4 linked regions of the Pelodiscus sinensis genome follow. The protein of the gene in region 1 interacts with the protein of each later gene in a biochemical or structural test. Links are inferred from orthologs where the notes say so. Each region holds a gene or a part of one and is shown in the gene's direction. Other genes may lie near its edges. The genes, in order: CREBBP, CREB1, TDG and MYB.

Region 1 (7,064 bases):
GGGTTCCAACCCACGAAAGCTTATGCCCAAATAAAGGTGTTAGTCTTTTGCCATAGGACTCCTCATTGTTTTTACAGTTTGCTGTCTTTTTCACAATGTATCCAAACAGCCCATTCGTTTTCTAACTGCTTCTGTACTCGAGAGAAATATGTTCACGGAACTATGTCAGAACAGTCCGGAGCTACTATGCCACAGCGATAGCCACCATCTTTGCTAAAACACCAGGGCTCGAACCATGGTCCCTTAAAGCTAAAAGCACAAGCTGCTACAGCCAAAGCTTTAGAGCAACGGGCTGTAACAACTCATATCCTCTGCAGCTTGGAACAGAGCAGGACCTGTAACACACATACCCCAGTGGGTTACCCACTACCACTGCAAATCCATATCCTAGTAACAACGCAAGGTTTATCATCCTCTTGTGAACCAGAATATATTGGTTCGGAACTGGAGGAAGGATGCTGTGAACTGCTATAGATTCTGGTAAACCCTTTGTTTCCAAGATCATTGAACACAGATGTGGGAAGTGAGAAAACTCTAGGTAAGGATTGACCCAAGCCAGGGTCCAAGTTTCACTGATTGAGCATTTGAAAAATAGAAAAAGTCATTAAAAAAGTTGAGAGTTCTGCAGCCCCGTATCACTTCTGACAAGCAATGTCTCTCCTAGCTGCCAAATCCTTCTTCCTTCCTTCCTCCATGTATTTCTTTTCTTAAAATTAGATTGCAAAGCTGTCTGGGGGAGGAACTGTGTCTTGAGATGTATTTTTGTTAATATGCAAAGGGGAAGTGCATATTGGATGTTGTGAAGACCAGGACTTGAACAGGGTTAAAAAAGAAGTAGGTAAATTAATGAAAGTTAGGTCCATCAATATTTATTAGCAGGGCTTGACAAGCGGCGGCGAGCCCTGCTCGCCAGCTGCGCGGTTTGGCACGCTGTGCATGCACAGACCGCGCTGCGCATGCACAGATCGCGCTGCGGCGCCATGCTGGGCTAAAATCTACTCGCCACAGGCGAGTAGATTGCCCTAATTGTTGAGCCCTGCTTATTAGCCAGAATGGGTAGGAATGGTATCTCTGTTTATCAGGAGCTGGAAATGGATGACAGGAGAGAGATCACTTGATGATTACCTGTTTCTGTTCATTCCTCTAAGACACCTGGCATTGGCCACTGTTGGAAGACAGGATACTGGTCTAGATGGACCTTTGGTCTGACCTAGCATGGCCGTTCTTATGTTTCAGAGGGGTAGCTATGTTAGTTCGTAACTGGAAAAACTTAAAAAACAACAAATAGTCTTGCAGCACCTTAGAGACTAACAAAAATGTAGATGGCATCATGAGCTTTATGTATCACGAGTATTATATTATTTTGTGATGGGTGTGCATACATTGCATGAAGGCAGCAAAGGAGTGCACCGATAGGTTTGTGTTTTGGGGACGATGTCTGGGGGTGTGCACATGCTATAGGATGCCAGTGTGAGGCTGAAAAATGCGGGGAAGCTGCATGATAGTCATGTGGGCAAGTGTTGTGTGGAGGTCTGGGTTCTGCAGGGATTGGGTACATGTGGGTGGAGAGCATCACTTAGACATTTAGGAACCACAGGGTGGCAGCATGGGGGCTGTGGGTGGACATCATAGAGAAGTAATGGAGGGGACACAGGCTTGTTGTGTGGGAAGGTACGGACACCACAAAGGGCATTATGGAAAAGACAGCATGAGAGATACAGGTCAGCATTAAGGGGGTATGGGGGAATGTTGCTAAGAGATTTGGGTGCCGTTGTGTAGGCAGGTTGTGCGCTATTTTTCATCAATGAGCAGAGCCGGCTCTAGGTTTTTTGCCGCCCCAAGCAAAAAATTTTTTGGCCGCCCCCCCTTTTTCTGTTCAGGGAGGGACTTGGGGACACAGGCACTGTGAGCACCAGAGTTCCCCTTCCTTAGACAAAGGGAGAGGGAGAATCACCTGGGTCCCAGCCAGGGGTGAGGTTGTCAGGACACAGCACAAGGGGGCTGGGTTCCTGGGCAGGTGTGTGGGGGAGGGGAGGGAGGGGGGGAATGTTTAGAGAGCCAGACAGGGGATGGGGATCCAGGCGGGGGGAGGGGGGAGAAGAGACGGGATCCCAGCAGGATTGCAGGGGGCTAGGAGGAGAAGAGAGGGGGGAGGAAGTGGGAGGGAGGGGGGGTCACAGGATAGTGGGCAGGGGGACAGCCAGTCAAGGGGGGTTCACAGGCAGGAGAGCTGTGGGGGAGAGAACACAGGCCGGAGGGGTGGGAGAGGGGGAGTGGTGGGAAGGGTGCACGGGAGCAGGGATTGCCGGCCGGGGGCGGGTGTGCACTCACGAAGGCAAAGAAGAGGCCCTCAGGCCCAGCCTCATCAGCCGCAGCCCCCTCTCAGGAAGTACCCAGGGCTGCCCACGCAAAGCTCCCAGAGCTCCGGGGCCAGGTGCAGCCTCCGAGCAGCCAGACACAAGGCTCCCTGCTTGGGAGTTGGGGCCCCGCCGCGGCTGAGCTCCAGTGCCCGCCGAGCCCCTGAACTCTGGTCCAGTGAGTTGGCTGCCGGGAGCAGCCACCATGGCCGTGGCCTGCCCCGCCAGGCTTAGCGTCACCAGCTGCGGCTGCCCTGTGCTGGGGCTAGGTGCTCCGTCCTCCCAGCGCCCCACCCTCCCAGAGCTCTGGGGCCAGGTGCAGGCTCCGAGCAGCAGAGTGCAGGGTTCCCAGCTCAGGGCGGCCTCCGCAGGGCTCCCTGCTGCCCTGCTCCTCCTGCCAGCCAGAATGCCACCTCTGTCAATGTGCCACCCCAAACACCTGCTTGGTTTGCTGGTGCCTGGAGCCAGCCCTGTCAATGAGATCAGGGACGGGTGACGAAGGGACGCCGCCTGGGTGCAAGAAATTTGGATCTACTGCAGCCATGGGCAACCTAGGCTAGTGAGTGGGCTGTATTAGTGGTCCTCCATAATCTCAGTGGTCTGGAAGATTGTCAAAACAACGAGAAGTCCTGTGGCACCTTGTAGACTAACAGATTTATTGGAGCATAAGCTTTAGTGGGCAAAGACCCTCTTTATCAGATGCAAGATTGTGGTAACCAAGACGGTCTCCTTGGTCAGGGTGGCTTTGCTAACTTCTGAGGGGTATGCTGATTGAACAATAGCAGTGCTTGGATTGGATGCAGAGGGGGCGCACGGCTCTCACAGTCTGTGTTGTGTGCAATCAGCACGCACCTCCCTCCATGTGCCCTTGCTCTATGTGTGTGTGTCACTTAAGTGATAATGGTAGGAAAGAAAACTATGTGGAAGGAAACCAGCAGACACTGGCAATCATGGACAAGGGTAAACAAAATGACTCCCGGGTTGCACGCAGAGCCCTGATGGGCCGCAGGTTGCCCACCATGGATCTGCAAGGAAGCAGCAAGTGAAGGGTATGGACAGATAGGGCAACGAGAAGGCAGCGTGGGGAGTGTTGCAGACTGTTGCACTAGTATTATTGGGGAGCAGCATGGTGCAGAGGCCAAGGCAACAAAAGTCCAGCTTGGTACTCTCTGTAAATGCTGGTGGGTGATGCACCCTGTCAGCCCGGTGCTATGATCCCTGGGAGGGGGTGCACTGCTGTGAGGCACAATGGCAGGGCAGGCAGGAGTGCTCTGCACTGGCGGAACAGTGGGGTGGGTGCTGCCCCGTTGCACTGGTGCTGCAGAAGGGGGGCACAGAGCATGGGGCCAGGTGGGCAGGGCAGGGAGTAGCATGGGAGTGGTGTGGCTGCTTGGTGGAGGCTGTTGCCCTAGTGGGATGGGGTTAGGGACAGCAGAGGTGCCCCTCCGAGGTGGCTCCAAAGGGGTAATTGAGCAGGAGCCAGAGGGGCGGGATTACTGTGCACGCTCATTTACATAGGTTTGCATCCTCTCCTCCCCCAGCCAGGAGCTCCAGGGCAGCTCGGCGCTTTCCGGCAGGGCTCGCCTCTTTCCGGGACGGGGCGTGCCCCCCTGCGCGGTGACGCAGCACGCCGGCCCCGCCCCCGCCCCGCCCCCATGGTCCCTGGAAAAGAGAAGAGAAAAAAAAACTTTTTTTTTTAATTGAGGAATCAACAGCCGCCATCTTGTCGCGGAGCCGGAGCGCGGCGCGGGCGGGAGCGGGGCCGGGCCGGGCCGGGCCAGGGCAGCGGGGCCGCCCGCCGGGGCACGGGCAGCCGCACGGAGCGCCGCGGAGGGCCAGACGGGCTCGGCCAGCGGGGCAGCGCCGGCCGGGAGGGGGCGAGCCGGGCGCCGCCGCCGGGACCGGGCGCAGTGGCCGCCGCGCTCGCTGCGCCGCGCTCATTGTTGTCCCCGCCGGCGGCGGCGGCTGCGGGCGGGCGGGGGTCGCGGGCCCGGGCGCGGGGCCCGGCGCGGGGCCGGGGCGAGCCCCCCGCTCGGCGGGGAGGGCGGGGACGCGGCGCGGAGGAGCGGGGTGGGGGGGCGCTATGCTCCCTGAGTGCCTGACTGACTGAGCCGCCATCCGGGCACCTCCTCGCGCGGCGGGGAGGGCGGGGGAGCGGCCGGGAGGAGCGAGCCAGGCGGGGGGGCGCTGGGCTCTCTCCCCACCCCGCCCCGAGCCCTCCTCCCTGCGGCCTGCTGCGGCGGCGGCCCGGCCCGGGCATGGGGCAGCGGGGGCCGCCGCCGGCCGAGCACTGAGCGGCGCTGTTCCCCCGGGCGCGCGGCGCGGAGTCTGCTGGCGGCTGCCCGCGGCCGGGCGCGCAGGACCGGGCGGCCCCGGGGCTGGCACCGCCGAGCCGGCTACCATGGCGGAGAACTTACTGGACGGGCCGCCCAACCCCAAGCGAGCCAAGCTCAACTCGCCGGGCTTCTCCGCCAGCGACAGCACAGGTGAGGGCACCGCGCGGGCAGCGCCGCTTCCCCGGGGGCAGCCCCTGCCAGGGGAGCCACCCGGCCGGGGCCACTCGCACTTCGCCGGGACCCCGCCCCCGCCAGCTGACCAGAGTGCAGCAGCCTGCAGCTGACTCCCCAGCCTGCCAGCTGCGCTCCGTGGCTCGGACCCGGCGTGTAACTTCAGCCCTCCACCTTAGAGCTCCACCGGGGAAGGCTCTAGGGCGTAGCACGACCTGGCGAAAGCGAGGGGCTCACCTGGCGCTGGCTTGTGCTTTAGAAATAAGTGTAAATGAAAGAGAGAGCTTCAGCATTGGTACATTTCTCTCGGAGTGGGGCAGCCTCTTCAAAGGCGTTTTGGTTTCCCAGGTGCGTGTAGACAGATTCCTTCGTGCGTAGCCTATGCGTGTGTAACTTTGACAAGACCGCAGAGTTACCTAGTGCGCTGGAATAGCTCCTTGTCTGTTCATAAATGTGTGAATGAGCAGTGTGAAGTGCTTTCGAGAAGTAGGCATTTTTCCATTACAGTAACTGCTTTCAAAAGTTTTGGCGTTGGGCAAGAGAGGCTTTTTTTTTGGGGGGGGGGGGAGAGGATTTTATAGACTTAAGGAAGGAAATTTGACAAATATTCTTCTAGGCAGTGTACACTTTTCTTTTGTGCACGTTTGTGTGTGCGATCGCTTTCACCTTCGCTTTCATCATTGTCATTCATAACCCTGGTCGTAACCCAAAAACTAGGTTTAACAAATGGTAGATTGTCTGCTCTGAGAATTTTCCTAAATATGTACGTGCCTTGTTACACATTTCAGTTTTCTTGTATACATGAAAACATCCCCACTAGTCTCGTAATGTTTACATATAATAAACTTGACAGCAGTGTGTCTTATAGCCATCTTTCACATAATAGGTGGGGAAGAGATGAGCGGGGGGGGGGGGGGGGGGGGGGATGATTGTACAGTAATTGCCAAAAGACCTGTCAGGTGTAGTACTCAGCCATTTTAACTCTTTTTGGAACTGACTGGAGTTGAGAGTGAATGGCAGTAGACACAATGCTGTGAAATGCCCTGTTAATCAAAATAACTGTTTGTAATCTTTCAAATAGTCACTTTAGGTTGCTACAGTAGTAGGTAAAAGATTTGAAACTGACTTTTGAAGGTGTTATTTTTGGAAGTTTTAATTTGAGAGAAACTCAGTTTTGCAAACTTATGCATTTTGGGTAGTCTCAAGGAACTCAACAAAATCTGTAGGATAGATACAGTTAAGCCTGTGCAAAAGTATTTGTGAGGCTAGGGCCTCAGTCAATGAAAAATGACACTGTCAGAGTAAGTACTGTATCTGACATATAGAAGGCAATACAAATTGTTAGGGTTCCAAAGTAGAGTATTAGTCAAAATGCTGAACCTAAAATGGGATCTTGTCTCTTCTTGATTAATAACAAAGTTGTGTGTCAACCATAAATGTTGCCTTTGACCAGTTTCTCAGATTGATAGATGTGAGCCACGTGCAACAGCAGGCTGCATATTGTACTGTTGAATGATGATTAAGGTTTCAGTCATGCAAATGCTTACACACATGCTTAATTTTACTATTGTGAGTAGTCTCAGTGGAGGATTGGACTATATATTTAATGAAAACACTAAGTTTTCCCTTGTTTCCCTTTCACATGCTGTTTTTTGTAGTAGTGAGTAGGTTTACTCAATCCGTTTTCTTGATAAATATTACTTCTTAGCTTGAATCATTCCAGTAAAAACATTTTTTGTTGAGATAAGATGTAGAATGTTCTTTCAAATTATTCGAGAGTGATGTAAGAATTATTTGAGGCAAATCTTCATTTGTGTATTGGAGTAATGTTTGCATGATTGAAGTTAAGTCTTGTGAACTTTTTTATGAATGTGATAGTTCTGTAAATTTTGAAATTATACATTGAGTTAGCATTTTAATAATACAAAATCAAAATATATTGATAAAAGTAAAGCCTTGTGTATATCATAAATCAGTATTAGCTAGATGACTAAAGTGATTATGTTCTTACACCAGCAACACAGTATGCTAATCAAAGCTAGTTACTACCAATACTAATTGTCAGGTTTCATCCCTATAACTAAGCTAATGAGTAAAATATCCATGGGAAAGGGTTTTCATTTATCTGCCTAACCAGTAGGATCCGTGTGTGTGTGTTTTATCAAATCCTCCGAGTTTCTTGTTGCATAATTTTAAACAT
Region 2 (7,949 bases), on another chromosome or scaffold:
CAGAGAATACCGGACACCTAAAATGTCTAATACTTTCTGATTTTTTCCCCAGTCAGGAGGCGAAAATGCTGGGCACCTGGCAACCTACAAACACTCAGGGCCCAGCCTCCCCCCCTCCCTGAGCCCCCCCTGGCTCCCAACTTGTTCTTGTTGCTCAACAACTTTGGTCTCCCCCCACCTTCTTTTTTTCCTTCAACAGAATTTTTTCCAGGTGTTTGGTTTTTTTTGGGGAGGGAGGGGGGTTTCGATATTTTTGTTTCAACCATCTGGCAACCCTAACTGTGGGTTAAGTCCTCTTTCCACCACCTCCAGTTTCTCCAAAGTATTCACAATAGGGTTGCCAGGTGTCCAGTTTTGAACCGGTCAGTGCAGTATTTGAGCTTTCTGTTTGGGAAATAAATTGAGAAAATATCAATGAGAAAATAGAAATGTCCGGTATTTTCTAAATAAGATGTAATGTAGATTGTGATGTAATGTCAAGCGTGTCCGGTACTTTTGTTGACACCATCTGGCAACCCTAATCCACAGAAGAAATTGTGCTGATGTGTATTTTTAGTTGAATGTGATTCCATTCTCTTGCAGGATTTTCTTAACTGGAGTTTACCAAGAAGCCTAAGAAAGTAAGCTGAGTTGCAGTCTAGACTTTACATAGACATTATAGCAATCCAACCTGAATGCAAAATGAATTACTGTGACAGCTGGCCAAACATTTTCCATTTAATCTCTTTTAAAGGGGGGTGGAAAGTTGTGTTTCCAATTCTATGGCTGTTTTCATGAAAAAGGCTTGGGCAGTGGGTAGAGGAGGCTGGGGGAAGCTATGCCTCTCCAATCAGCCAGGCATAGGCCCGTCCACACTGAACCCTTAGGCTCCCACTTTGGCTGAGCTTCTGGGCTCTAGGTCTGGTGTCATGCTACCCACCCACCTAGGGCTGCATGGGACAGGGGCTGCAGCAGCACTGTGCATACTCCCAGCCTGGAGCAGAAGCTGGAAAATGTGGGGCGGGCAGGACTTGAGTTCCAAGGTCACAGAAGGGACAGGGTCTTATGTGGAAGGGCTAGAGCTGGGGGCTAGCCTCCCGTAGCCAGCAGTTCAGTTGTCACTCATGGAAAAGTGTCTGCTTTCCACAGGAAATGTCAAGCTTTTCATGAAAAATCAAAACCCAAAAATGTTTTCCCGGGGGCAATAAGGTACTGCTTCCTCTCACTAACATGGGCATTTTACAGTGCAACATGGGAAATGTAGCCCAACCAGAAAGCCTGACCTATTGAGGAGAATGGGACAATAAGTATGGTGACCATATTTTCTGAACCAAAATTAGGGACACATTAGCCACACGCCCTGACCCCTGTTAACCACACCTCTGACCCCCATTAGCCAGGCCTCTGGAGGTAACACTCGGGGTCAAGATGGACACGTGACCAGAAGTAAAGGGTGCCGTGTGACCCCTCTAAGAACTCCTCCCACCATCCTCGTACCAATAGGAACAAGTTCGGCCCCCACAGGACCCCCACATGCAACTATCCTGCAATGGCACTAACCCAGTTTGCATTGGATTCACTCGGGGGAGAAGCTAAGAGAAGTGTTCCCTCTAAGAGTTTCCTCCCATGAGCAGAGTGAATTTTGTCTTGTGCACCAGCACTGAGTTCATGTGGCTTGTTCAGATGTGCCACGGTGGCACCCAAGTTATTAATAAATATCTTATAAACCTCTCCCTTTTCCCTCTGCTGCCATGCCTCCTACCCTCCCCCCACATCTGCTCCCCTGGTGCTGCTGCCCCCCACCCCTCACTCTCCTCTGCTGTCCTGGCTCCTGCCCTTCTCACCCCCCTCAGCCTTCCTGCGACCTGCCCCTCTCCCCTGCACCAGCCCTTCTCTTCCCCTTGTGCCCACTCCTCCTCTAGCCCCACTCTGATCATCTCTAACTACCCCTCCTCATCCCCTCTCCTAACACTTCCTCTACCCACCTGCCCTGCCTCTCTCTTCTCTCCTCTGGTGCCCGACCCTCCCCTCCAGTATCTGCCCTTCTGCTTCATCCCCAGAATCCCCTGGCACCTGCACCTTCCCTTACCCCTGCACCCTCCCGGGTGACCTTCCCTCACTGACCCTGCCCTCCTTGGCCTCTTTCTCCCTGGGGACCATGCCCCCACCACCCTTTGCCCCAGTTCTCCTCACACCCCGTGTCCTCACACGACTTGCTTCATCCCCTGACTGCCTCATGCCCACGCCTTTCAACTCCTTCTCCTAGCACCCACTCCTGCCCTCTCCATACTCCTTCTTGCCCCCATTGTCCTACCCCTCTCCCAGAATCACTCTGTCCCATCCCTTCTTCCACCCTCACTGACACCTTCCCTCCCACCCTTTTCCTCATTGTCTCCTCTTGGCCCCCTGGCATTTGTCTCTCCTCCACCCTGCCTCTTGGTGCCTGCCCCTTTCTTCTCCGTCCCTGACCCCTTCCTCTCCTCACTCCCACCTTCCCCTTAGTCTCCCCCAGCCCCTCTCCTCACCTGCCTTCCATGTGGAAAGCAGTTTGCGGGGCTGGAGTGCTATTTTTATTACCGCGGGCCCTCCCCCAGCCGGAGTCAAGCGACAGCTGAATAAGGCCCGTTCTGGTGAGGCTGCCCCAGCTGGAACATGCCTCATGCGGCTGCCACTTGATTGCAGATGGAGCCCGGGCTGCCTGCAGGGACCCAGACCGCAGTACTAAAAATAGCATGGTAGGCAGCCTCCGCTCCAGTCCTGAAACCTGCCGGGCCTGAGTGCGCCCTGCCCCAAAGAGCCCCAGCAGGGCTCCGCACAGGGCTCCAAGGCAGTCCAGAAGAGAAGGCGGTGGGGCCACCAGACCAGGGCTCCAAGGCAGTCCAGAAGAGAAGGCGGTGGGGCCACCAGACCAGGACTCCAAGGCAGTCCAGAAGAGAAGGCGGTGGGGCCACCAGACCAGGGCTCCAAGGCAGTCCAGAAGAGAAGGCGGTGGGGCCACCAGACCAGGGCTCCAAGGCAGTCCAGAAGAGAAGGCGGTGGGGCCACCAGACCAGGGCTCCAAGGCAGTCCAGAAGAGAAGGCGGTGGGGCCACCAGACCAGGGCTCCAAGGCAGTCCAGAAGAGAAGGCGGTGGGGCCACCAGACCAGGGCTCCAAGGCAGTCCAGAAGAGAAGGCGGTGGGGCCACCAGACCAGGACTCCAAGGCAGTCCAGAAGAGAAGGCGGTGGGGCCACCAGACCAGGGCTCCAAGGCAGTCCAGAAGAGAAGGCGGTGGGGCCACCAGACCAGGGCTCCAAGGCAGTCCAGAAGAGAAGGCGGTGGGGCCACCAGACCAGGGCTCCAAGGCAGTCCAGAAGAGAAGGCGGTGGGGCCACCAGACCAGGGCTCCAAGGCAGTCCAGAAGAGAAGGCGGTGGGGCCACCAGACCAGGACTCCAAGGCAGTCCAGAAGAGAAGGCGGTGGGGCCACCAGACCAGGGCTCCAAGGCAGTCCAGAAGAGAAGGCGGTGGGGCCACCAGACCAGGGCTCCAAGGCAGTCCAGAAGAGAAGGCGGTGGGGCCACCAGACCAGGACTCCAAGGCAGTCCAGAAGAGAAGGCGGTGGGGCCACCAGACCAGGGCTCCAAGGCAGTCCAGAAGAGAAGGCGGTGGGGCCACCAGACCAGGGCTCCAAGGCAGTCCAGAAGAGAAGGCGGTGGGGCCACCAGACCAGGGCTCCAAGGCAGTCCAGAAGAGAAGGCGGTGGGGCCACCAGACCAGGACTCCAAGGCAGTCCAGAAGAGAAGGCGGTGGGGCCACCAGACCAGGGCTCCAAGGCAGTCCAGAAGAGAAGGCGGTGGGGCCACCAGACCAGGGCTCCAAGGCAGTCCAGAAGAGAAGGCGGTGGGGCCACCAGACCAGGACTCCAAGGCAGTCCAGAAGAGAAGGCGGTGGGGCCACCAGACCAGGGCTCCAAGGCAGTCCAGAAGAGAAGGCGGTGGGGCCACCAGACCAGGGCTCCAAGGCAGTCCAGAAGAGAAGGCGGTGGGGCCACCAGACCAGGGCTCCAAGGCAGTCCAGAAGAGAAGGCGGTGGGGCCACCAGGCGGTTCTGCGTGGGGAGGGAGGGCAGCGAGGGAGGGGCCTCCCATTCCTGGAAGCTGGCCCAGCTGCCCTACGGCCCTGTTGGGGGAAGGGGAAGGAGGCTGCGGTGCGCGTGAGGAGCAATGGGAGGGGGCAGAGCTTCTTCCCGCACGCTGGTGTCCCACCGAGCAGTGAAATGTCTGGCAGGGCTTTCCAGGGCATTTCACTACTTCATGGGGAGCCGGGGCAGAGCATTTAAATTTGGGACTGTCGTGGAAAAATCGGGACAATGGTCCGCACGTCTATAGCTCAGGAGTGTGGGTTAGCAACTCTAAGTGCTACAGCTCCATCCATCTCCATTGCCGGCATTTATCACCAGTCCGAGGAGAAGCTGCCAAGGGCACTCCTCCGAGAGGGGGGCTTGCACCGGCAAACCCATCACACACCCGAATCTGCCATTCGCCCTCTTGGCTACAGGGCACTGACTCATCTCCAGCCTCTCATCCGCTGGAACCGCCCGGTCGGCGGTTCGGCCTTTTCCGCTCCCGCTCGGCTGTTTCCGTGCCTGGTCGGGCACCCCCGCAGCCGGTCGGCGGTTCGGCCTTTTCCGCTGCCGCTCGGCTGTTTCCGTGCCTGGTCGGGCACCCCCGCAGCCGGTCGGCGGTTCGGCCTTTTCCGCTCCCGCTCGGCCCTTTCCGTGACCGCCGCGTGTTCGGCCTTTTCCGCTCCCGCTCGGGTGTTTCCGTGCCTGGTCGAGCACCCCCGCAGCCGGTCGGCGGTTCGGTCTTTTCCGCTGCCGCTCGGCTGTTTCCGTGCCCGCCGCGTGTTCGGCCTTGTCCGCTGCCGCTCGGCTGTTTCCGTGCCCGCCGCGTGTTCGGCCCTGTCCGCTCGCGCTCGGCAGTTTCCGCGAGGGGCCGCGGCGCGCTCGCGCTCGCTCCCCGGCTGGCGCTCAGTCGGCCGCTGCCTGTCGCCGGGCTGGGGGAGCCGTGTGAGTGACGCGGCCGAGGTGTAGTTTGACGCGGTGTGTTACGTGGGGGAGAGAATAAAACTGCGGCGAGAGCCTAGGCGCAGCGAGAGCAGTGACGGAGCAGCCCGTAACCGGTAAGAGGAGGACGGCGCCCAGCCGGGGGGGGATGGAGCCGGCGGGGCGCAGGGAGCAACAGGCGGCCCGGCCTGCACCGCCAGCGGGAGGGGCGCCCGCTTTAAAGATGGAGCCGCGCCGAGCCCTGCAACATCCCCGCCGCCGCCGCTCCGAGCGCGGCGAACAAAGAGCAATGGCGGCGGGACCGCTCTGGCTGCCAGCTCGGCGCCGGGCCCCGCCTGGGCCGCAGGGACCCTCCGGAGAGCCCGGCAGCCGCTGTCCGGGCAGCGTGTCTGGTGCCCCTGGCCCGGGCTGCCCCCACTCAGGCTGGTCCTTCCCCGCCGCGGAGCCCGCTCCGGCCCCTCGCCGCCTCCGAAACCCGGGCCGGGCTCCGCGCCCCCGCCAATCCCGGCCCCGCCGCACAGCCCGCTCCGGCCCCTCGCCGCCTCCGAAACCCGGGCCGGGCTCCGCGCCCCCGCTAATCCCGGCCCCGCCGCACAGCCCGCTCCGGCCCCTCGCCGCCTCTGAAACCCGGGCCGGGCTCCCGCCAATCCCGGCCCCGCCGCACAGCCCGCTCCGGCCCCTCGCCGCCTCCGAAACCCGGGCCGGGCTCCGCGCCCCCGCTAATCCCGGCCCCGCCGCACAGCCCGCTCCGGCCCCTCGCCGCCTCCGAAACCCGGGCCGGGCTCCCGCCAATCCCGGCCCCGCCGCACAGCCCGCTCCGGCCCCTCGCCGCCTCCGAAACCCGGGCCGGGCTCCCGCCAATCCCGGCCCCGCCGCACAGCCCGCTCCGGCCCCTCGCCGCCTCCGAAACCCGGGCCGGGCTCCCGCCAATCCCGGCCCCGCCGCACAGCCCGCTCCGGCCCCTCGCCGCCTCTGAAACCCGGGCCGGGCTCCCGCCAATCCCGGCCCCGCCGCACAGCCCGCTCCGGCCCCTCGCCGCCTCCGAAACCCGGGCCGGGCTCCGCGCCCCCGCTAATCCCGGCCCCGCCGCACAGCCCGCTCCGGCCCCTCGCCGCCTCCGAAACCCGGGCCGGGCTCCGCGCCCCCGCTAATCCCGGCCCCGCCGCACAGCCCGCTCCGGCCCCTCGCCGCCTCTGAAACCCGGGCCGGGCTCCGCGCCCCCGCTAATCCCGGCCCCGCCGCACAGCCCGCTCCGGCCCCTCGCCGCCTCCGAAACCCGGGCCGGGCCCCCGCCAATCCCGGCCCCGCCGCACAGCCCGCTCCGGCCCCTCGCCGCCTCTGAAACCCGGGCCGGGCTCCCGCGCCCCCGCTAATCCCGGCCCCGCCGCGGCTCGGTGCCCTCCCAGCCCGCCGCGCCGCGAATCGCGCTTCCTCCTGATTCCCGCCCCGATGGCCAGCTGGCCCGCAGCGGTTCTCTCCCCCTGCCCTCCAGAGTGGGCCGCCCCCGCAGTCACAGCTCCCGGAGCGGGGCGATGTTTTAATTCGTGTCAGACAGACCTCTCGAAAGGTGTATCTTTATTCCCTGAAGCATACCAAGTGCTGCGGCAGACAGCCCTGTCTTAAGGGTCAGCTCTGTTAACACACACTGTCATGTATTGCACAAGTATCTTGGATTAAAACTGAATTTGAAAAGCTCCTTCTCTTTATGCTTATTCCATTCTATTTGGATAATACACAGCCTACCTAGTTTCACTCATTTATCGTCGATTTCATTTTCTGACTGATATGGTACTGGTCCGGTAATATCTGGTTAAAGGAATTGTAACTAAACTATGTAGAAACGTATGTAGTATTTTAGTTTGTTACAGGACTAGTGGCGGGGGGAGGGGGGGGGGTTTCCAATAAAAGCTTTTCAAGAGTTTATTCTGGGGCAGACTTGATTTGATGGGCTCTTTTTAAAATGGGGTATGCACATGTTCAGAAGAAACTGTCCAGGTCTCCCAAAGCATTGCTTTTCATGGCAGTTCAATTGAAATAGTGCAGAGAAGCTAATAATCAAGATACAGATCTCTGCACCCTACTCCTGGTATGTAGCAGTAGGAAGATGTAATCTTGTTAATACTTCAATACTAAAAATGAATTTCCCCATAAGTGTAACTGTAGGAAATTTTGATACAGTGGTCAGTCTTGCAACTAACCTGCAGGTTTCTTAAATGAGAATGCTGCAGACACAATGATAGTTGGGTTGCACCTGTACTAAAACTGTATTATTCCATTATCCTGTTTTATATTTGATATATATACCACATTACACAATTCTGAAAAATATTTTAGGTATCTTACCCCCATCATTGCCATTCTAGTTTTTTATTCCCTGCAGCTTCAGTATCCATACTAGAAATTCTTAATTTTTGTTTTGTTTTTCCACTTGCTGTTGTACACTTCCTTCCTTCAACTTCTAGGATTCTGCATCTTGCACAGTCTTTTCATCTAATTTAAAGGCACAATGTTTTCAATTTTTTGGGATTAATGATACATACAGTGGTGCTGGAGCCAGGAGTGGGAGTGAGGGGAGGCAGTTGGTGGGAACATGGCCCTCCCGATTTATCAGCTTCCATCCTGGAGCTGCTTTTCCAATGCCCCAGAACTAGTTTGGAGGCCCATGCCCATGTTAAAAAGTAGAGTAGGATTCCAGCACCTTTGTGAATCCTATAGTAGGTTTAAAACTTTAAAAATTATGTGGTTTTTATGAAGTTTGTGTGGCTTATCTCTTCCCTCCAAAACTTTTTTTTTTTAAATATATAAACTCATGCTAGCAACCCAGTGTGTCTGGGTCGATGGCTAGATTCGCCCAGTATAAGAAATTAAAACTTCAGTGGGGGGAGGAGGAAATCAGTTAACTTAACCAGTGGTTCTTGTGTCTAT
Region 3 (7,324 bases), on another chromosome or scaffold:
AGCGCTGCACAGAGCCCAGGGTCAGTTGGGGACTCCAACTGATCCCAGGCTCCCACTGCGCTCTGCCCCTTAGAAATGCCCTGGCAGCGTTTCAAAGGGGCAGCACCACGGAAACACCTGCGATTAACGCATGTTAAAAAAATTAATGCGTCAACTGTGCTCTGCGTTAATCGCAGGCTTTAATGCGTGTTAATTGACAGCCCTTGTTAGGTACAAGAATTAAGAATTAATTATCATAAACAAACATTGTAAGAAACCTTGGTAATTTGCATCATGCCTTGACTTAACTGCTGAGCCCTATGTCTGATTATTGCATGCAAGACTGTATTGTGTATGTGTAGTACACAATTACAACATTGATTTGGCTACACCTGAGTGGTTAACTGTTGGTTGTATACTGTGGAAACAGGACTAGGGGAGAGGGGATTTGTGTGTCCATTTCAGGGTTTGTCAGTAGCAGAGCAAGAGTCTGGTTCATTCTGACTCTTGCTAACGCGAGAGCTAGGAGAGACGTTGTGTTCGCCTCTCTGCCTCGCTCTCCAAGATAAGAATGGAATGCTGACCTCAGTGAGAAGATAAGACCGTATCCTATGGGAATTGAGTGGGCAGGGAAGTAATTGTTTGATGTTATATGTAACAGAAAGGTATATATGTTGGGTTTTAATTGTTTTGTATTTGAAGATCTGCTTATGCTGTCTTCCCTTGCAATATTGCTCGAATAAATTGCCTCTGGCTACTTGTTGCTTACAAACGCAGAGTGAGGACAATGTTTTCTTCCACAATACTAATTTGGTTCTGAGTGGAATAATAAAATATTGATCAGCTAAGAATGTGCAAATGTCCTGATCAATGTTCCTTATAATTATTTCCATATATGTGCAGAATAAATTAAATAAATTGCATGCACCAGGGCATATATGGATGTGCACCACCAGTAGAAACACATGCTGCTGGTTGTGTGCATACTGGGTGCTCTGCTAATCAGCTGGGCAGCATTTGAATCTCTCCTGAGAAGCTGCCTCAATGCTCAGCATACAGGGAACACTGATTCTGATTTATAATACTGATCAAGTTAAAAGTTCATCTGAAAAGAACCCAGCATTAATGCTAATGACCTAACATTCACTGGACTCAGAAAAAGTTTATTATTAAATTCCATTCTATATTGGCTGGAACACTTATTCAGTTGACAAACCTAGTTTGGTAGATTTCAGCAAGTTAATAAAAAAATAACCTCCTTTCATGCTTACATAATTGGGCAGAAAGGAGAACTAGGATATATTGTGATCCTTTACCGCCAGTCATCAGGGCTTAGTATTACTACCGACTTTAGGACAAGGTATGCCCAGGGCCGGATTAAGGCGGGGCTAGCCGGTCAGCTGCTTAGGGCACCAACCTACGAGAGGCACCTTATGATAGTTGTAAGAGGCGCTGCGTGCCCAGCCGCACGGCACCCCTTAGAGCTGTCATCAGGCGCTGCGTACCCGATTGCAGCTGTAAGGGGCGCAGTGCACCGGGAGTGCGGCCACGCATGCACCATGCGCCCAGGGGCGGAGCCGGCATGCGTCACGTGCCCACTGCCCGGGGCGCAGGAATGGCTCGAGCTGGCCCTGGGTATACCTACTGATTCATTTACCTCTTAAAGAAATAGAAGACAGTAGCAGTAAGAGATTTTGAAGAGGATCACACAGATTTCAGGCATGAACTCCATGCTTTATCAGACGTGTCAGAGGGGGTAAGAAATCACACCCATTAGAATATTTGTTATAATTAAATATATATGACTTATTAGTGTAAGGTTTGCTAAAAATGATATTTGGTCTTGGATATTCACAATAGCACAATGTAAAACATTTTAGGACACCTTCATTTAAGTAAGCTTTTTATTCTGTCTTTTATACTCATTAAATCCTCTTAGTGCTTTTATTTTCAGTCTCTTCTCATCTTTACATTTTGTGATAGATTTAAAGCAGCCCATTCTGAGATATTCCAATGTTCAACAGTAAATAAATAAATCTTTCTCCCTCAAAAAACCGTATTTTTGTTTTCAATAGAATATAAGAGTTTTAATAAACAACTGACTGGATTTCTGATAATTGTATAAGGAATACTGTTTATTTCTTACAAACAAGTTGTTTTGTTTTAAATAAATATTAAGATAGATTTATTTCATATATGGACTTCAGGTACAATTTTCAGAAGTGCAAAAGTCTCAACGGCTTGAGTCCCTAAATTAAGCAAATGAGACTCAGGACCCTAAGTTATTTAGGCCCTTCTGAAAATTCTACCCTTCATGATTTCAGTAGTCTCTGGTCATTGCTGTGAGGTATGAACTTTGCTCTGTCTTTGTTTTAGACCCAAGAGTTCTGTTTTCAGTTCTCCAGGCTTAGGTGGAATTTCAGGTATAGTCTATAAAATAAATAAAACAAAGTGGTGTTAATGCTCAAAATCTGTGACTGAGGTACAGAAAACTGAACAACCAGAAAATTAGAGACAAAAAAGAACACTACATTCAAGTTACAGTTTGATTTCACCCCCTCGTCCCCAACTCCTGCCCTGCGGCCTGACCTCCTTATACCTGGATTCTACGATCCTGCCAAACCATGGATATTGCCAGATCACAGAGTCCTGGTTAAGGGAGGTACAACTTGTAGTAGATTATGTGAGTGTATAAATAGGCAAAACCATGCTATTTTCTACTCTGTTTTCTGAAACAAAGGAATATTGTGGGAACAGGGAATGTTTCCCAATGTAAAAGACAAAAGTAAGAGAAAAGGTTGTAAATGCTAAGAGCTTGGAAAAATATGAAAGCCAAAATCAAGCTATACGAATATCAAACCATTGTGATACTTTTTCCAAGATCTGACTTTATATGTATTTTCACTCCTTGAATTTCCAGACAAAGTGAACTACAAATCTCTACTAAAACTGCAGCATTTCACCTGGTGTAGGATTGAATCCACAAAAATTTCACGCTTTCCATCCAAATCGTATGTTGATCTAACTTTGCCCAAAAGATCACTTCTGAGCTTTAGATCTTAATAAAACAAGTTAACATTTTCCTGGTTCTGTGACTATTTCTTTTAAAAACAGAGGCTTATTATGTACTCTCTGGTCCTTCCTCAGCACACAATGCAGCTGGTCACTACTCAATCTGCTTCCGAACCAATCTGACTCAGATTTAATAGGGAGGGGAAAAAAACACCTTGAATGAATTACTAATTTAGGATTCTAGCTCTTCTAGTCTAGAGCAGAAAATAATCTTATAATCCCAAAGTAAAGTTATTTTACATTATCAATAACCTGGTATTTCTTTTAACTTCCGTTTCTTCAAAACTGAAGAAAAATCCTGAGACGAGGCAAATGTGTGAAACTGCTAGAAAGTCATGTGCCCTTTTTCCTTATTATTGGAATGACAAACGAACATATCAACCTTTTGATATAGAAGTGTTTTGGTATTTTTGACCTAATGTCTTTTGTACACTGAACAGTTTTCCTAGCGAAGAAATGTCAAAACACATATTATTATTTAGCAGTTATAATAAATGAAATAAGAAATCAAAGCCTTAAATCACTTACAAGATCAGGTCTGTAATATCTATGCACTATTTCTGCACCTGCAAACATAGCCAATGTGCTCGCACTGATCATTTTCAAGTATTGAGACCAAGATACCCCAGCAGGCATGATGAAATGCAGTCTGCACTTAAAATTCGAGAACTCCAGCTGTCTGAGGAAAAGAAAAATTAGAAAAAAAGTTGCAATAATTAGTATGCCAACTAGCCCATGCTGAAATACAATCCACCCTGTTGGTATCTGTTAACAAGAACCTCTACATTTAATTAAATCACATCCACCTTCGGTAGGAAAAAGAGATGGGGGAGAGGAAGAAATTTGCAATAATGGAAGTTAATTTTAAAAAGTTTAAAAGTAGGTAAAGAAAATGTAAAGTGTTCAAATCACTTCAACATACTACAGAGGTAACAGTGCTCCCCGTGGACATCAGCCGGAAGAATTATTTGTCTACCCCCCCAAGGGCAACTTCAGCTCTGCTACACGTATCAATTATAATTTGCGGGTGACTGAGGCATGGGAAATGCACCAACTTGCATTCATCAAAACTCTACATTAGTTTGATCACCTGTATGTACCCTGCCCAGGACACTGAATCTGGGGAGGAAGCCCCAAATACCACGACCCGGAGACACAACTTAGGCCAGCCCGTCCCCCTGCAGGAAAGGAGGAGCCCCCCCCGCTCTCAGCAAATCATGTGATTCAGGGCTTGGCTGTCATCTCTCACGTGACTATACTAGCTGCTACGGAACTACGTCTCTTGCCAGATTGCCTCTGCTTCCCCCAAATGGGAGATCCTAGGGAGCTGCTGCTGCAAGGTTCCCTTCCAAACTGGCTGGGGAGAGAGGATGCTGCGGTGACTTGGGAGGTTCCCTCACTGTTTCCTTGTTTGGCTCAGTAAGTGTGTGTTCATTCATATCCCTGAGAGTCTAATACATCTCTCAGAGACTTTCTGCGTTATTCTGAATTCCCTACAGTGGCCTAATAAGGCTTAGTCCACTGTAGCAACCACCCTGCGCTAAGATTAGCATTGACTGAGCGATTACATTATCAACACAATAATACTGTACTAACAGAATAGTAACTCCTCTAGCACTAATAACTAGTTATGTTCACTATCCGGGAACAGTCTAGGAATTCCTGACTTGCCAAGGTTTAGGGTGTTTGGTGTTTTTCATTTGTTGTCCCCAGTTCTTGGCATTGTGTGGTTATGTGAAAATCTCAGTTGTTGTTTTTAAAAGTTTCAAGCCCTCATGATTGTGGAGAGAAAGCTTAGAAATGTGACAATTAGAGGTTCAAAGATAAGAGGGCAAATAAATATTTTATGTCAGTCTCATATCTGGGGCCTGATTCGTGACTTTTGAAACTTTGTGATAGCAGTACTTAGTCTGTGGTAACGCTGATTGCCTTGTAAGAATATAGAACCCATTCCTGTAAACATTTACATGTCGTCTTAACTTTATACAGGTGAGATATGATCTAGAAAGGCACTTTTGCATGTGCTTAACTTGAAGCCCAAGTAGCCTTGTTGGCTTCAATGGGCCTACTCATATGCATACAGAAAGGCATGCACGAAAGTGTTTTGCATGATCAGAGCCGCAGCAGCCGTTTGAAAATATATTAGGGCCTCTGCTGAGTGTTAAGAACCATTACTGTGGAATAATAATACAGTGGCATTTTCTATTAATGCCTTTGGAATCTCTTGTAAGTTGCGATAGACTAGCAATTGAATTTCTTCTCTTGCCTTGTGTTATTTTAGTTTTCGGGCATGCACGGGCACTGGTGTGCACAAAGCAGTCAGGAGTAAGGGCAGGTTAGCTGGAGTGTCTGGCACACACGGATCGCGTTCTGTCTTGACTCTCCCCCGATAGCTTCAGAACAACATAGGCGCTGTGGTGTTTCCTTATGATCAGTGGGAATCGGGCCGGGGGGGGGGGACTAGAGCCATGGAACAATCCCATCCCGGCGCGTGCCAGGCGCTCTGGGTCAGTCTGGCTGCCAGTCAGTCATCCCACAGGCCCATGGTGCTGGGCGCAGAGAAGCCCCGCCCCCTTCCCCTCTCCTTCCTCCTCCCCCTCCCGTCTCTGAGGCCTTCTCCCCCACCCCCGCAAGGTTCGCGGCCCGCTGTGGAGCCTGCTCCTGATTGGCTGCCGTCCACCCCGCGTGACCGCTCGCCCAGCAGGCCGGTCGGCGCTCGCGGTGCGTGAGGCGGAAGAAGGGGGGGGGGGGAGGAGGAGTTCGCGCTCTTGGCGGCCGGGGATGGAAGCCGAGAGGCCGGGCAGGTACGCGGGGCAGCCGGGCCTAGGCGCCCCCCCCGCCCCCGCCTCTGCGGCCGGGCTGGTGCGCGCGGGGCCTGGGCAGCCGCGGGCCCGGTGGGCGGGGCGGGGCAGCAGGGGGCTGTGTCCGGGAGGGGCGGGCTGGTGTGAGTGTCTGCTCGGGGTGTGCCGAGCGGGGAGCTGTCTGTGTGCGGGGGGGGGGGCGCCCACACCTGGGGGTTGTATTGAGCAGAGACTCGATGTTGGGAGGGTCTGTGTGAAGCTGTGGGGAAGCATCTCTGGACTAGGAGTCCCTGCCGGCTTCTATACTGGCGACAGGAGCGTCTCCGCTGTCACTGGCCGGTGCTTGGGACAGTGCTGCGTAAAGATACTAACTAGGGTGCACAGTGGCTAACTGCCTAAAAGCACCTGGGCATCTGTAACACTGGTAATCCCCGAGTGCCCCACGCACTCTGTATGCGTTACAGAGTAAAGTAATTTGATGGAAGCTTACGCAATTCGGAGTTGGCAAAGTCAGGTAGGTAGTTCTTGATTGTATGCAGTGTTGTTCTAGCCATGCTGGTCCCAGATAGAAGGTAGAAAGATAATATCTTTTACTCAACCAATTTCTGTTGGGGTGAGAGAGAGAGAGAGAGAGGAAAAACTTTGGAGCTCACTCAGAGGTCGTCTTCAGGTCACAGAGCTCTGTAAGTTTGAAAGCTTGTCTCTCTCTTTTACCGGCTGAAGTTGGCCCAATAAAAGACAGTGAGAGGAGAGGAGGGATAGCTCAGTGGTTTGAGCATGGGCTTGCTGAACCCAGGGTTGTGAGTTTAATCCTGGAGGGAGCCATTTAGTGATCTGGGGCAAATCAGTCAGAGATGGTCCTGCTGTGAAGGCAGGGGACTGGACTTGATGATCTTTCAAGGCCCTTCGAGCTCTATGAGATAGGTATATCACCATATATTATTATTAATCAATTAATTCTAAGGCATGGTCTACACTAGGTTAAGCTGCCTTCTACTGACCTAACTTTGTGTCTATATTAAGGATGTTAAAGACTAGTCGATTATCCAATAAGCAAATGCTTCTCTGATAGTCAGTTGACTACTCAATCCCTTCCCCCCCTTGCTGCCTCTATTAGAGGTAGCAAAGCGGGGGAGAGAAAGGATACTTCAAAGGGAGGCACCACACAGCTGATCCCGGCTCAGCTGTGCAGCGCTGCCCCTTTGAAATGCCAAGGCAGTGTTTCAAAGTGGCAGCACCACCAGGAGCCTGGGGTCAGCTGGAGACTCCCCAACTGATTCCAGGCTCCGTGCTGTGTTTCCACAGAACCCACAGTCAGCTGGGGAGTCCCCCCGCTGACTCCAGGCTCCATGAGAGTGCTTCCACTTTGAAATGCACAAGAGCCCTTCCTTAGGTAGCCCTTAGCATTTAGGTTGATATAGTTAGGGCAATGCAGCGCCTTTGGGCATGCTGCATTACATTGCCATTGGTTG
Region 4 (7,247 bases), on another chromosome or scaffold:
GGGGAGTGTCCAAGAAAGCCCTTTGTTTGATGGCATCTCTGTTTACAGAGTTTACTCTTTAATCTCAACCTGTTTCCTCCTCCTCCTCCTGCTGCTGCTGCGGCTCCTGAAAACTTCGCTGTGCGGCGGTGGAGCACTTTTAAGCAGCACAGAAAGCAAAGCACTTCAGCCAGCACAGGTCCCCCCTTCCTTTCCCAGTGGCTAGTCCGAGGATGGCCAGGAGACCCAGGCACAGGTAAACTCTTTGCATGTGGCGTGTTTGTACGTATGTTTAACAGCCTATGGATAGTGCGAGTGGGGATTTGGGGAGGGGGTGTTTGGGGGTTGTTTGGTTGCTTTGGTTAAGTTTTGCAGGAGTGGTTTGCTAGAGCCTTCCCACGCCTGTCAGACTGCACAGGGAAGTGGAGATGGAAACCTAAACAGACCTTGCAAGACCAAATGAATAACGTATTAGGAATTCCTTTCTTCCTTCTGTGCTACCCCGCACTCCCTTCCAAAAAGGCTCAGGAGATTGGGAAGATTGCATTTTGCAGTGCATCTTGCAAGTTGCTCAGACAGAAATCTCCCAGGGCCGTGCGTGGCACGCGTGGTTACACATTAGAAAAAAAAATGGGCACAAGATTCCCACTTGGACTTGTTGCCTTTAACGATCTGTGCCGAGCTGCTCTGCGGTCTGTTCGGGCTGGAGGAGCTAAGCAGATGGCAGATGTAAGCCCCAAAAATGTCGGACTTGTTTAGTGGCTGCAGGTAGTTTTCATTCCCGTTTCATTCATTCTTTGTGGAGGTGGGATGTCAGGTGGGTGGCAGACAGGCGGCGTGAAAAGCAGGCACTGGGGAGGGAGCAAAGTTCCCCCCCCCCCTCAGTTGCAGAGCCTTTCTTTTAATGACTCCAACCCTGCCCCGCTCACCTCTCGGGTTATAATTATGCCCTGCAAGGCTTTTATTTTTAATGCACACGCCGCTCTGCACATGTCGGAGCCCGAGCAAGCTTTTTAGCAGCACGCTGAGAGCAACTTAGACTTTGGCAGGAGGGGGGTGGGGTGAGGAGGGAAGAAGGAGACAGGCGTTTGGCAGGAGCTGTCATGTGGCCGGGAGCAGGCCCGTTCCTCCTGTTGGGGAATGGGCTTTTGCATAGGGCAAGGGGGGGACCCCAAGTTGTGCTATGGTGGCTGGGTGTGTGCGCCGAGGGTGACTGAATCCTGTGCTGCTCCCTTCCCTCTGGGGGTGGCGTGCTGCACACTGGAAGGGAGAGGTCTGAGCGCCTCGTGGTGGCTGCTGTTACAGACACAGCGCAGGATTGTTTTCCAATTATCTCTGGACTGGCGGTCGGACACGTGGAGAGTCTCGTTCTCCTTTCGGTCCAGCACCCCCTCCCGCCTCCTGGGCTTGGGTCAGAAAAGTAAATCCCCCCTCCGCGGTTCTCCCCCTCTTGTTGCCGATCGCTGGCTTTTGAAAAGGCTTAAATTACCCAGTGTGTGAAATCTAGAAGGAGGCTCGGGCTGGGGGCTCCGTGCAAAGTAGGTTGTTACTTGAGAATGAGAGCGAGTGTGTTACTAGGACGGACGGGCTATGAATTACTCATCCTGTCCCTCCAGAGAGAGAGAGGACACAGTCTGTCTCCGCCTCGCTTGTCTCTTTGGGGCTAGCCGGGAGGTGGAGTGGGGGTGAGCGAGCCTAGTGGGTAGTCTGTATTTTCTTTTGACTTTGCAGAGCGGCAGAATGAGCCTGTCAGGAGTGGTGGAGGAAGCCAGGCCTGAAAACGAAAGGGTCAGTTGCGTTTTACAGGAACTGAATGAGCGGGAGAGACGGGAGGAAAGTGGAGTTGCTTAGCAGCTTTCAGAATGGTCCTTGCTAGCCAGGTGGTTTGTGTTCACAGAGGGCTGCGGAGCAGCAGATACCTTCCCTCTGGTTGCATAGGGAATGTGCTCGTGAAAGAAGGGAAACTCTAGACTGCAACGCTTAAGCGGCTTCGTGGAGTGCTCTGCAAGGAGAAATCGGCAAGGTGGATCAGTCAAAACAACGAAAGTGGATTCCCCTGGGTTGTTTGTGCCTACTTTCTTCAATCACAGTAACAGCAGCAAGTCATTTCCTCTCCACCGCCCCCCCCTTTTTATCATTGCACAATTTGGTTTCCTTGACCAAAAATGTAGCATTCATATTTGTAGAGTACTTAAACGGCACAGAAAGCCAGCATGTGGGGGCATCATTAACCCTTTCACTGACTTAGTCCATTTCACTGGTAACTGGCAAGTACATTTGTTGTTGGAGTCAGATTTTGTTTAGGCAGATGTTCAGAAATTTTTCAGACATCTGCTAGAAACCAGATTTGCAAAATATGGTGCAGAAGGTGCTATACAACCCCTCCCCTCTTATTCTTCTGCCACAAAAGACACAGAGTGTGAGTTATTCATTCTTTATGTCACTATGAGGTCATTCCGAGGTAAAGAAGGAATTTAGATCATAAGCATTACCTTAAAATAATATTAAAATTTTCATTGCTAATATTCTACTACAATTTCACTTATGCCATGTGCCATTGATGAACCTAGAACATTTGGCAGCACTGGTAAATGTCACCCTGCTGGTTATACCTGGTACTTTCAATATCAGTGATACCAATTTTCAGATGATACCTGGTGATTTAGCTACATAACTTCCTTTAACATCAGCAGCAATCACACAGTTGTCTTCATGTGTCACGTAGAAATCTGACTTTAAAAAAATAACAGCAAAGAACTAGAGTTACAGCTGTCACTCTGTACATATGAATAGGACTCTATAACCTTTACTCATATAAGTAGTCATACTGGAGTCAGTGATAGAGATGCATCCATGTTAGTCTGGTCTAGCTGAAACAAGAGACAGAACTATGTAGCACTTTAAAGACTAACAAGATGGTTTATTAGGTGATGAGCTTTCGTGGGCCAGACCCACTTCCTCAGTGAGACTACTACTGTACTGTGAAGAACTACTCTTTTGAGCTGCAGGATTGGGCTGAGTTGAAGTCACTAGCAGTGCCTAAATATTCCATAAGTCTTTGTGAGTTAATTATCTTGTCACATGGTCCTCTCTACCTAGACATAGTGTTAATTAATTAAGAATGGAATTATTGTTTTGTCAGTTTGTTAGCTGCTTGGGACTTGCTCTCAAATAGGCCACATGCATCACTGGAGATGCTGAAAAACCTCTTAAGTAGCAATTTTCTTTGATAGGCAACATGTGCTAGAAGACATAGCTGAAGACTTAGTGATATTTTAATCTAATATATCAAAAGTTTAAGCTTTTTGATACATTAAAATTAAAGCAATCTGAAAATCAAGATTAACAGGACGACTAGTGCCTGGTCTATTGTTAATGGAAGTGTTAGTGTGGATTATTTAATAAGGCTGTTTACCACAAAAGGTTTTTGAAATTGTATCTAAAGTTTTCTTCCATATGTCACAGCCATTAATCAAATATTATATTGTTTTTTCTATAGTACTGGAGATGTCATCTCTTTGTTGAAGTTTCAAAAGTGATGTTTATATCTTGGAGTTGGAAAAGCTACATTACCCAACAGAAAGACAACTCCTATTGCAAAACACTTCAGTTTTAGCTAGCAGGATAGAGTGATTGCTGTTTGTGAAAACAGCAGTAGATTTCTTTTTACCCATACATAGCCTCTGGGGAAATCCCTCAGTCATGAATTAGGTGAGGACTAGAATATTTCAGAAACAGTATGGAGTATTCAGAAATGGGATAAAGGTAATAAAGCTATAAAGTTAGCAAAATACTCTATATAAGATGATCATTCATATGATTACTATGGAAATCTTATATTGTACTTGACCTCAGCTTTGTCTGTATCAACCATGAACTGTGGCACATATGATAAGAATTTATTTACAAAATAGTGTGATCACTTGATGGCCTTCTTTTTAATTAGTGTTGAAAAACCTGTGCCCTTCAATATTTTGGTCTTCTAATCCCAAAATCATGACTAAATATATTATTGAATAATTTTTCTATTTTTCTATTTGTATATAAAATACCAAATATACAGATTTGAGTAAGTACTCAAAATGTATAGAACATGTTAAAGATTTTGCTTCTGCACTTGTGAAAAGGACATAGCCTCTTGTTCTCTCTATTGTTCTAAACACTGTATTTTAATTTGAAACTTTCATTGGTTGAAAGACTGCCAAGTGTGTAAGTTGCCACTGATCTAACAGTACGAGCAGGTCTAAACATGTACAGTAATAAGAAGGTTGCCAGCCCTTTGCTTGTATCTGTGGATACCAAAAACAGCAGAACCAGTTCAGAATAGTAGAACAGAATGCAGAACAAAATCTCGTTGTGCAAGTTTTCAAACTTTTATCTGTATAACCTTTGTGAAGATTGTTGTTTTTCATATATTTTGTAATTCAGTAACTTAAATCTTCATGTTCCAGTCTAAGTCATCTCATGTTTCTTTTTGCAGTATATATAGTAGTGATGATGACGATGAAGATGTTGAGATGTATGATCATGACTACGATGGTCTGCTTCCAAAGGCTGGAAAACGTCATTTAGGAAAAACCAGGTGGACCCGTGAAGAGGTAAGAAAAGGTTCACTTACTACATTTGGGTTAAAAAGAGAGAAAATTGATCACATTCTTCTCTCGTGCAGATTTAATTAGTTATCAACTTCAGGATGAATCTTATGTATATGTATGAGGGAAGAACTTGATTATATACATAAAATTAGATGTATCTTTGAAGGTTATTATTTTTTTTAAAAAAGTTTAAATACTGATCCTTGACTCCAGCAAGATTGTTTGCAATACAGGTGTTAAAACTATGCATTAGTTAAAACTAATTTTAAAATTACCTGTAGCAATGTTTGATTGTTACTGCTGGCCCTTTTTGTTTGAAAATGGTTGCTATGTAAGAAATGACGTCTAGTCACTATCTTGACAGCTGCAAACAATTATGGTGCAAACTTTTGCACTCCTCTTAAAGGGGTCAGTTGCAGTTTGTACTTTAATACTGGGATTGTGATTCCAAGAGGCAATATCTAATATCTGGAAGAAACAATTATTCAGCACCACAAACGGACATTAAACATGTCCCTTTTGAAAGACTAAGTATAAGAGTATGCATTGGTAGCTTTTAGTCATTGTGCTCTTTTGTCTATTTTCTGTGTAAATTATCATGTTAAAGAGATCATTTATTGGGGTGGATAATCCATCGTCATTTATTGTGGTTTAATTTTTTTGTGTGAAATGTGTTAATTCAGTTGTTTGAATGATACGTGGTTTTGTTCAACACCAGTGATTCACACTGATATATAAACAGTAGGCCACTTATTCTAAGATTTTTTAAAAGCTCAAATTGTTATTATAGTACCTTTACCATTCTTGATGTTTGAATTGGCTGGTTTTAGTCTTTAAGGCCTAAATTACTGGATCTTCCATTAAGGATAATGGGCCATGTTCTCTGCTGGTGAAAATATTCAGAACTCTTTTGAAGTAAATGGAGCTTCACTCATTTAGGCGTTTTGCCCATTTATACCAGCAGTAAATATGGCAAATTACTTGTGCATTCAGTATAGAATCGTGTGAGGTATCATGATTAACATTGCATTTAAAATCTTTAAAGATTTTTGAAGACAGCCTAAGAAATTATGACACCTGAACTCTATTGAATTTCAGTGGACATTGGACACCTAATTCCTTTAGACTTGTTTGAAAATCCCTGTCCAAAAATAGTAATTTATATTGCCTTGGCTGATAAAGTGCAGATCAGCATAATTTGCATAGTCAAGAAGCCCAAATAATATATTTAAGTTCCTTCCCATAACTGAATAAAAAAAAAATCTACCTAATGAGGAGATGCATTTGGCAAGAAAAAAACCATAATCAGGCCAGAGACTACTCTTTTATGTCAGTACTGGATCCCTGAAAGAAGAGGATACAAATTCAGCAGCATGGAATGTTTTCTTTTTTTTAACCTCAGCTTGACTGATATATTTTATTTGCATTACTAAGTGATTCGAGCATTGATAATGTTTTCTTTATAAAAAACTAGGATGAAAAACTAAAGAAACTCGTGGAACAGAATGGTACAGAAGACTGGAAAGTTATTGCCAATTTCCTTCCTGTAAGTGGACATTGTTTCTCTTTTCATTTGTAGAAATGACAACTGCTTCACCCATTTTTAAGTAAGGGAAGATGTGAGACATTATTTCTTAACTATGTTTTCATGTCATATACAGCTCTCTCCCCCCATGATTGGGAACTTGAGAAACACAGCTATAATACAGTAGAATGCCTTGTTGAATACCTTATCTTTTATGCTCTATTTTTATTTCTTTCACTACTCATCTCAGATAAGGGAGGAGAAATGTAAAGAATTTTTGGGGGATTTGTTATAGAGCAGATGGTTGATCTGCCAGTGAAACAAAAATTTCTCAGTCCAGGGAAAAAACTCTAGTTGTGATCAAAAGTAAATGCTACTTATGATATATCTTTTGTGATCTCTTACTGTTCAAAATCAATAGATAAAGATAAATTTAAAAGAATAAGTGTTATGTTAATAGATGTCAAAGGATAAGTATGTTTGGTTGCCATAATACAGTGACAGTTATGGAAGTAGGCTTTTCTAGTTCAATGTGCAGAATACTTACTATCCATTTCTCAGGACCCCCATTTCAATCTTGTCTCAGTCATGCCCTTGCAGTTTAATTGTATTAACTGGCAATGAGATACTTGGAGGGTCTGTTTGGGAAGCAAGTGCATCTAGGAAGAAATATCACAATTCGTTTATCTTATTTGAGAAGGGATTAATTTGTATATTTTATGTGCATTCAGAATCGGACGGATGTGCAGTGCCAGCATCGATGGCAGAAAGTACTAAATCCTGAACTTATCAAAGGTCCTTGGACTAAAGAAGAGGATCAGCGGGTAATCAACTTTTCCTTCTGCTTAACCATAGGCCCAATACTGCAGTCATAACTGGGATAAAATTCATCTAGACTTCAATAACTTCAGTGGGAGTACTACCTGAGGAAGGACTTGAAGACTGGCCCCAGTAATATCAATACTTTATATAATGCTTCCTGGTACAGTTTCAAAGTACTCCACACAGATCCAGTAATAATACTTATAACATTGTACATTTAAATGGATACTAGAAATGCCTTATATTACCAAAGCCTTTTCCTTTGTGTAAATATAGAAATAGAAAATATGAAACAGTGCCTACACATCAGCTCTACTACAGCGGTT

Evidence for each region.
Region 2: the proteins of CREBBP (region 1) and CREB1 form a complex in vitro, tested with the Homo sapiens proteins (15 studies listed by BioGRID, with this or other methods). The link is inferred for Pelodiscus sinensis from reciprocal best matches to the Homo sapiens genes CREBBP and CREB1.
Region 3: the proteins of CREBBP (region 1) and TDG form a complex in vitro, tested with the Homo sapiens proteins (2 studies listed by BioGRID, with this or other methods). The link is inferred for Pelodiscus sinensis from reciprocal best matches to the Homo sapiens genes CREBBP and TDG.
Region 4: the proteins of CREBBP (region 1) and MYB form a complex in vitro, tested with the Homo sapiens proteins (6 studies listed by BioGRID, with this or other methods). The link is inferred for Pelodiscus sinensis from reciprocal best matches to the Homo sapiens genes CREBBP and MYB.

The regions. Positions count from the first base shown.
Region 1 is NC_134726.1:3,552,951-3,560,014, forward strand, and holds the start of CREBBP (CREB-binding protein), read left to right. Parts: upstream 1-4,044; 5' UTR 4,045-4,758; coding exon 4,759-4,843; intron 4,844-7,064. UniProt on the Homo sapiens protein: Acetylates histones, giving a specific tag for transcriptional activation. Mediates acetylation of histone H3 at 'Lys-18' and 'Lys-27' (H3K18ac and H3K27ac, respectively).
Region 2 is NC_134717.1:75,871,920-75,879,868, forward strand, and holds the start of CREB1 (cyclic AMP-responsive element-binding protein 1), read left to right. Parts: upstream 1-4,935; 5' UTR 4,936-5,140; intron 5,141-7,949.
Region 3 is NC_134711.1:98,313,301-98,320,624, reverse strand, and holds the start of TDG (G/T mismatch-specific thymine DNA glycosylase), read left to right. Parts: upstream 1-4,311; 5' UTR 4,312-4,360; coding exon 4,361-4,470; intron 4,471-5,642; exon of another isoform or gene 5,643-5,832; coding exon of another isoform or gene 5,833-5,855; intron 5,856-6,065; exon of another isoform or gene 6,066-6,366; intron 6,367-7,324. Other genes in the region: UQCC6 (ubiquinol-cytochrome c reductase complex assembly factor 6), read right to left, coding at 2,314-2,409, 3,580-3,687. UniProt on the Homo sapiens protein: DNA glycosylase that plays a key role in active DNA demethylation: specifically recognizes and binds 5-formylcytosine (5fC) and 5-carboxylcytosine (5caC) in the context of CpG sites and mediates their excision through base-excision repair (BER) to install an unmethylated cytosine.
Region 4 is NC_134713.1:96,421,660-96,428,906, forward strand, and holds the start of MYB (transcriptional activator Myb), read left to right. Parts: upstream 1-4,244; 5' UTR 4,245-4,421; coding exon 4,422-4,577; intron 4,578-6,048; coding exon 6,049-6,120; intron 6,121-6,830; coding exon 6,831-6,923; intron 6,924-7,247. UniProt on the Homo sapiens protein: Transcriptional activator; DNA-binding protein that specifically recognize the sequence 5'-YAAC[GT]G-3'. Plays an important role in the control of proliferation and differentiation of hematopoietic progenitor cells.